Saccharomyces cerevisiae S288C: one gene and its partner. Changing the gene in region 2 together with the main gene of any one other region gives a genetic interaction. Each region holds a gene or a part of one and is shown on either strand. Other genes may lie near its edges.

Region 1 (3,074 bases), on a different chromosome or scaffold from region 2:
TGATGACAGTGAAGGATAAAAATCAACTAGCTCAATGTGATGCATTGATCATACCTGGGGGAGAGTCGACTGCAATGTCCCTTATTGCAGAAAGAACAGGATTTTACGACGATCTCTACGCATTCGTACACAACCCAAGCAAGGTAACCTGGGGTACTTGTGCAGGTTTGATTTATATTTCACAACAATTATCTAACGAAGCAAAACTGGTCAAGACGCTGAATTTACTAAAGGTTAAAGTAAAAAGAAATGCATTTGGGAGACAAGCTCAGTCTTCTACCCGGATTTGCGACTTTTCAAACTTTATTCCTCACTGCAATGATTTTCCTGCTACTTTTATAAGAGCCCCAGTAATAGAAGAGGTGCTGGATCCTGAACATGTGCAGGTCCTGTACAAATTAGATGGGAAGGATAATGGTGGTCAAGAACTAATTGTTGCCGCTAAGCAAAAAAACAATATTCTTGCGACATCATTTCATCCGGAATTGGCAGAAAACGATATACGGTTTCACGACTGGTTCATCAGAGAATTTGTTCTTAAAAACTACAGTAAATAAAAGGGACGTATAGTATAGTTATGGAGAAAGGAGATCATCACTGTTCATTCTGAACTCGCCTCATTGAAACTTACCTATTTAGTTATACCCAAATGTATTGCATATGACTTTCTTTGAAAAATCATCACCCAAAGAACTGGTGTGGCCCCACGGTTTTCTCGAGTTTTCAGTGTCCACCACCGTAGCAAAACATGATAACCAGTGCAGTCTTGGAAATTGCTCGTTAATGGCACTAACTGTATCGATATGAATCAGATCGGTATTGGATCCGACATTGTCAAGCGTAGTAGCAATCTGCAGAATGAGCCCCAAGGTGGTAATGTAGCCAGTCCCAGTCAAATCCTGGTGACGAATGATGGCCTCAGTTACTGCATCTGCATAGTCCTGATTTCCACCTGTCGCATTAAATACAAGCTCCCTTGAAAGTATGCCACCATAATACTCAAATGACATCTTCGTGGCTCTCATATTCTTATCTGTTGTTGCAATATCATGAAGTAAGCAGGTGACGTACAAAACTTCCTGATCCAAGTCCCATGCTGGAAATTGGTCTCTTATGATAGCTACACTATATTGAAAAACACGCAAAGAGTGGTTTAGAACGGGGGCAGTCAATTCTTTAGCGGCATATTCCCGAACAAGCCTAGCAGTTTCACTGTTTGGAGGCGGAACAACGGCCCGTGGTCTAGGTGCATTCACCACTGGAATGGCCTTTTCTACCTCTCTAGGAACTCTTACAAATCCGTACTGTGACATGATTGATTCTTTTGAAGAGAAGCAAGGCAAAAAACAGTACGAAGCAACTTCATGTTAACAGAAGAAGAAGGAAACTAACCCATTTATATATAATTTTATGAGGGGACCGATCCTAAAAAGTTATTTGTAAAGCTCGTACAAGATTGATTGATGACTTCCCGACAAACTATTGTGCGGTGGAGTATTTTGTATTATAGAAATGATAGTGTCCATGCACTTTAATAAGATCTTTTTTGCGGACATTTGTTTCGGGGCCGTCCAAAGTTGTTTGATGGTATAACTCCGCATATTTGACATCTTTCTCTTTTAAACCAGTATCAGTTAGTCTTTTGCAATTTTCTTGAGGGATTCAGTCTAGAAAGTTGATTTTCATTGCTGTTAAGATAAAAATTCCTTCTAACCCAGCTTGTACTCCGTATACTTTCAATGCTCTCAAAAAGATATGGATACTAGTTAGTTTAGACCCTGTAGTTTCACCAGCTGCTAGTATTCAACGTTCATGCGACTTCTATAAAGGAGTGCTTGGCTTTGATGTTACAACATTCGGGAACTATCGCAGGGCTCTGTCTTTTTTTGGAGTCAGAAAAATCAATTTGCATGAGGTGGGAAAGGAATTTGAGCCCAAGGCACAGAAGCCAACTCTCGGATCTGTCGATCTGTGTTTTATCTTAGAGGATCCTTTGAATAACAGTTACCCATCTTGAAAGCTTGGATTTTCCAATTGAAGAGGGCACTGTAATCCGTACAGGCGCAGTCAACCCTATTATCAGTATACATCCGTGATTAAGATGAAAGTGTGATGGAAATATCAAATAGAATAAAAGAAACGGAATAGAGCTATTTTTTTTTTATATTATAGACATAGTCTAAGCGAGTTTAACCTTTGAAATATAAAAAAAAAAAACAAAAGGAAAAAAGTAGTATGTGGGCTGCACTAAACTAAAACCGTGAGGTATTTAGATATATATTCTACATTGTTTTACGTTATAGCATGTATAAACATACAAATACATACTGTGAGATGATTGTGGTATGACACAGTGTGTAATAGAGGAAGTGAAGAATGCCAAGAGCAGTTTTTTTATCTATTTTCTGCGAATTTTCTTATGTCGGAAGTTATTCTCGGATAATATGCGGCTGCGCTAAAAATAGTTTATCGCATGCGTAAATCAGGGACCAATTTATAATGCTATAATGGACGTCGCAGTGCAGGAACTACTTGATTTTTTTTTTTTTTTTTAATTTTTTTCTTTCTATAGCTAGTCACACAGCCATTACCACCCAAAATTAAACTGTTTTATGTATGTTTAGTCACCAAATTATCAAAAGAGCATGATTTTTCTCCTGAGCACTTCAAAATGAAATTTGAAATCTTACCAAGCCCTCAATATAAACCAATATTTCAAGAAAGCTAGAGACATTGCAAATATTTTGCTCATTCAAACATATAGCTAAGGCAAAGGGATACTAAAACTCAGCAACTTGATGAAAGTTCGAAAATAACTGGCAGTGTATCTATAAAAGCTTCACTGTGGGAATGCAGTGTCCATCCAGTATTCAGCACAGGTTTTCCTAAGCCTTCTGTACATCCCTTCATTTAACAGTAAATGTGGAAAACAAGAAGGGTAATTGTGAAAGAGTCCGATTGTAGTTGATGAACAGTAAAATCACTTATTATTTAAGGATTCCGCTGCGGTATGCGTTTTCTACTGATGCGTGGAGCAAGCCACGCCATGTGATTAACCTTGCTTGATAAAAACA
Region 2 (4,660 bases):
TACTCGTTATTCCCAAGATTTTGGACATTCATGTACAGGGTTTCACCATACACGTATTTCATTGAAACTTTCGTAAGCTTACTTCTCCATGACAGAGAAGTAAACTGCTCGACAAGTGAAATGGTACCAAGCCAACCTGTAATGGGTCAAACCTGCGGTCAGTTTATGAAACCCTTTATTGATGAATTTGGTGGGAAACTGCACATCAATAACACATACACCGTCTGCGCCTACTGCATGTACACTGTTGGGGATGACTTCCTTGCTCAAGAAAATATGAGTTATCATCACAGATGGAGAAATTTTGGTTTTGAATGGGTTTTCGTTTGCTTTAACATTGCCGCCATGTTTGTGGGCTTCTACCTAACCTACATCAAAAAAATTTGGCCTTCTGTGATTGATGGTATAAAGAAGTGTATCCCATCAATGAGGCGGTCCAAAACATCTCATAATCCAAACGAACAAAGCGTATAATCAGTGAATAGCGTTCCGTTAGAAAACATTCAAAATTACCTAATACTATTCAACAGTTCTTGTTCCTCATCCGGCTGCCTTCTGCTTTAAACTAATTGTTAATTTATTCCCAAATCATATTCTAAATTAATCTATAATCATTTTTCGGATTATATATGCTCCATACTTAATAAATATTAATACTCTCATTTCCTTTTCACTTTTTTTTTTCTCAATTAGCATTCCAGGTTCGAGAAATATCATTGATATATCGTAATTCCTTTTCAGTAAACGTGATTAGACGACCTTCGTCAAGTTCAGAGTTTGTGTGTCCGTCACCCGTAGCATATGCACAATACATATAATTAGAACATTCCTTGATTTGCATCCATGGATGAACAGAAACGTCAGGAACGATTAGTCCCTCTACGTTCAACGAAGCATCATATATCCTTTTTAATTTTGAAATGTCCCCATATCTACTCTTAAAATACTCTGGCTCTCTTCCAAAGTCATCTTCAGCACTGTTCGAAATTTTACAAGTCTTCAGTCCACCGTTTACCCATAGTAATCGATTTTTGGAGTCACTGTGTGCAATCTGCGTAGAACAAATGTAGTACATCCCGCTTTTATGTCCGTCATCATTTTCAGGCTCTTCATTAACAGGTCCAATAATACTGCCATCAACGGGATTGATAGAATAATCCTGGCCAGCATATAATTGCCCCAACCAGAATATTTCCTTGTCACCATACACACACCTCTGCAATTTTCCATCCAAATTTAACATAAAAGACATCAACAATCCATTTAATTTCTCAAGTTTATTGACTACAACCAAACCACTATCAACATGATGGAGTCGTAATTTTTTGAAAAAATTGTAATACACAGATGCTTCTTCTGAGGTTTCGGAAGAAAACGGTAATGACGAATCAAAAACTAACCTACTTCCAATAAATCTGCGTTCTTGTGCAGAGGGTTCCACTTCATTTAACATTTCGATGCAGTATTGGAAAGTTTGCTCGTTTTCCATAACCCTATCCTTGAACAAAAGTATCCCGCTCTCCCTGTAAGAAGGAGAGTCGAAAAAGTAATCAGACCCTACAAACGGTACTACGTCTGCATCCAACAAAATGTATTCTTCAAATGTGTTGAACAAAGTGGCGACCCATTTATTCTGAAAAAAAGAAATGTATGTATTAGCAAAATTAGTGTCAAGCACTGTCGAGCAGTCTACTAAGTAGACCCTTTGTTCCGTTTCTTTAGCGGTCTCAGAAATTTTAGCAATAGACTCTGCTGATAGTTCATTTCCCGTGGATACTATTTGGAATGGTAATTCGTTTTTTGAAAATTCCATCACTTTCAACTGTTTCAAAAATAAAGGAACATCCTTTTCAGCAATAGTTAAAACAAAACCTCTTCCTTTGCTCAACCTATTCCAGTTGGACCAAAAGTTACCATTAAAGTTTGATGATTCCATATCAACCTCGGGTGCCGGAACTGCCTCTCCAGTTGTCATGTCTGTGATAATAGGCCACATTACAGTTTTGGATTCCTCGTTAATTTTCTTCAGAAATGGAAACATTCTGTTTTGCAAATCATGAGGATTTACGGTTGAATTTGCAAATATTGCAGTAGGATCTAATTGACCAGATAAAAAGCAATAATCATAAGATCTTAATCTTTCCCCTAACAATGAGGCCAACGTGTTATCTACACCATCAACATTATAAAATTTTGCAGTTTGCGCATTGTCCCAGTCGGGATCAATCTTGTATAGTACTTCAAAAATGTAACGGCACTTGTCACTCTTCGCTATTTCATTATTTCCTAATTGCCTCAACAATACACGTTCTTTGTGAGAACTTCTACTCAAAAAGGGCAAAAAGTAGGCAGATAATCTGTTCATTAAGTTTTCGGATCTCACTTGGTGTTGTCGTTTTTCAATCCAATTGAATGCAGATGATTCAACAGCTGTCCTCTCGCTTGCATGGTTGTTTAATTTATTGGATGATGTAACATTCCGACTGGCAGAGAAAATGAGATAAGAAAAGAATAAAGAGAGCAGCAGTGTTACTAATCGTTTTAAGATTAGTCTTCTGGATTTTAATGATTTAAGCATGCTTAGGGAAATAGTTTTAGTAGACTGTCTTTAATTCCTTAACACCCCTCCTCGTACTCATGTGATGGAGAAAGGAATTTGATCAGTTCCAGAGGCACAATTTAAGTACTAAGACAAACAATGATACCAAATTAAAGAGTAGATTATTGCCACTTTTTGCGTGTAAATCAGAATAATTCCTCTTCAAAATTTTTTTAGACGAGATCATTAAGGTAATTTGCATTGTCGATACTTCTTCATTCTTCCGTATTTGAAAAAGATTCTCTTTCAAAGAAAAAAAATTGCTTCCAATCGGATTTGAACCGATGATCTCCACATTACTAGTGTGGCGCCTTACCAACTTGGCCATAGAAGCTCGTATTTTACGGTAGATGAGATTATCGCATAAAGGATATCATTTAAAATGTGGTTGCAAACAGCTTCCAAACATTTACTCGACTGCTTCTTACAAGTAGCTATGCACAAATTATGTACTATTTTAATGAGACAACAGAGCTAAAGGCAGAAAGTAGAAAAAAGTTCAAAAATTGAAGTTTAAGGCCTGTTTTATTTAACAGTCTGTTTTTCTGAAAAGAAATGGACATTGACATGAACTATCCCAGTATAACTACTTTGATGAGTAATGAATCAGCAAACTTATTGATTATTTGGGGGAATGCCACGCCTGATATTAGCTATCTATCTTATACAACTAACCCAATGTTAGGTGACTATGTTTTAAATGTGTCCGCTATAAATGGCTGCACGGAGGAATTAATAGCAACTCATCTAGTGCCAACTTTGGAGAATGCAACCCAGTGGGTTTATGATGCGGGGGAGTACTGGGACAATTATTCCTTTACTGATGAAAGTACCCCTCTGCCAGGACTTTCCTGGCCATTTAATGAATAATTAGATAATTGTTGGAATTCCGTTGTTAGTAAAGGCTATATAATATTTGAGAAATGGGTGAATTTTGAGATAATTGTTGGGGGTTCCATTGTTGATAAATGCTTATAATATTATGTATACAGAATATACTGAAAGTTCTCCTCGAGGACATAGGAATCCTCAAAGTGGAATTTATATTTTTACATACTAATATTACGATTGTTCCTCATTCCGTTTTATATGTTTCGTTATCCTATTACATTATCAATTTTTGTATTTCAGCTTCCTCTAACCTCGATGACAGCTTCTCATAAGTTATGTCATCATCTTAACAACGTATATGATAATATATTGATAGTATAACTATTAGTTGATAGAAAATAGTGGATTTTTATTCCAACATTCCGACACAACAAAGTCTTTCTTCAACAAGGTCCTTATTTCAGATGACAGATTTTACTGTACATAAAATACAAAGGATAAGTGAAATGAAAAAATTGTTGTATTACGGGCTCGAGTAATACCGGGGTGTCTTGACAATCTTATTATTATTAACAGTCTTAGGGAAGTAACGAGCTGTCAAAACGGATTATCAGCTTAATTCACGGGATGTTACTTATCTTATATATTGTATAGAATATGAATCATACTAAATGGTGAAAGCGCGGAATCTTGGATCTAAACTAATTGTTCAGGCATTTATACGTTTGGTTAGTTCAGCTAGGGGAGGCCGGGTTTTATCTCATGTTGTTCGTTTTGTTATAAGGTTGTTTCATATGTGTTTTACGGACGTTTAGGATGACGTATTGTCATATTGACGTATCGCATTTTGAGATACAACAATATCACATCTAATATTCCGTGATAGTTTAATGGTCAGAATGGGCGCTTGTCGCGTGCCAGATCGGGGTTCAATTCCCCGTCGCGGAGATTTTTTTAGCATTTATTCAATGAATAATGTGCTACTTGTTCAAAATTGTGATGGCTGCATAATATTACTATTTTGTTTTATATATCCCAATGATATCAGTAAAACTCCCCTTGTTTTTTTATTATGCTTTCCATGTATTAAAAATGACTATATATTTGATATTTATATGCTATAAAGAAATTGTACTCCAGATTTCTTAATATGTTGGTTTACAGACATTTATTAAGACTGTAGAATACTTCGTGACAGTTTCTGTTATGACTGTCTTATGAGTAGGCCGA

The links.
Region 1: mutations in MNT3 (region 2) and DDI3 together harm fitness more than expected from each alone (negative genetic interaction), as found in Saccharomyces cerevisiae (one large-scale study listed by BioGRID).

Annotation. Positions count from the first base shown.
Region 1 is NC_001138.5:7,784-10,857, reverse strand, and holds DDI3 (cyanamide hydratase), read right to left. Parts: upstream 1,314-3,074; coding exon 636-1,313; downstream 1-635. Other genes in the region: SNO3 (putative pyridoxal 5'-phosphate synthase), read left to right, coding at 1-557. UniProt on the Saccharomyces cerevisiae protein: Cyanamide hydratase involved in the detoxification and/or utilization of cyanamide, a toxic nitrile compound distributed widely in the environment.
Region 2 is NC_001141.2:324,021-328,680, reverse strand, and holds MNT3 (alpha-1,3-mannosyltransferase MNT3), read right to left. Parts: upstream 2,579-4,660; coding exon 686-2,578; downstream 1-685. Other genes in the region: ATP-binding cassette multidrug transporter PDR11, read left to right, coding at 1-474; YIL014C-A (uncharacterized protein), read left to right, coding at 3,155-3,469; aspartyl protease BAR1, read right to left, coding at 4,576-4,660. UniProt on the Saccharomyces cerevisiae protein: Mannosyltransferase involved in adding the 4th and 5th mannose residues of O-linked glycans.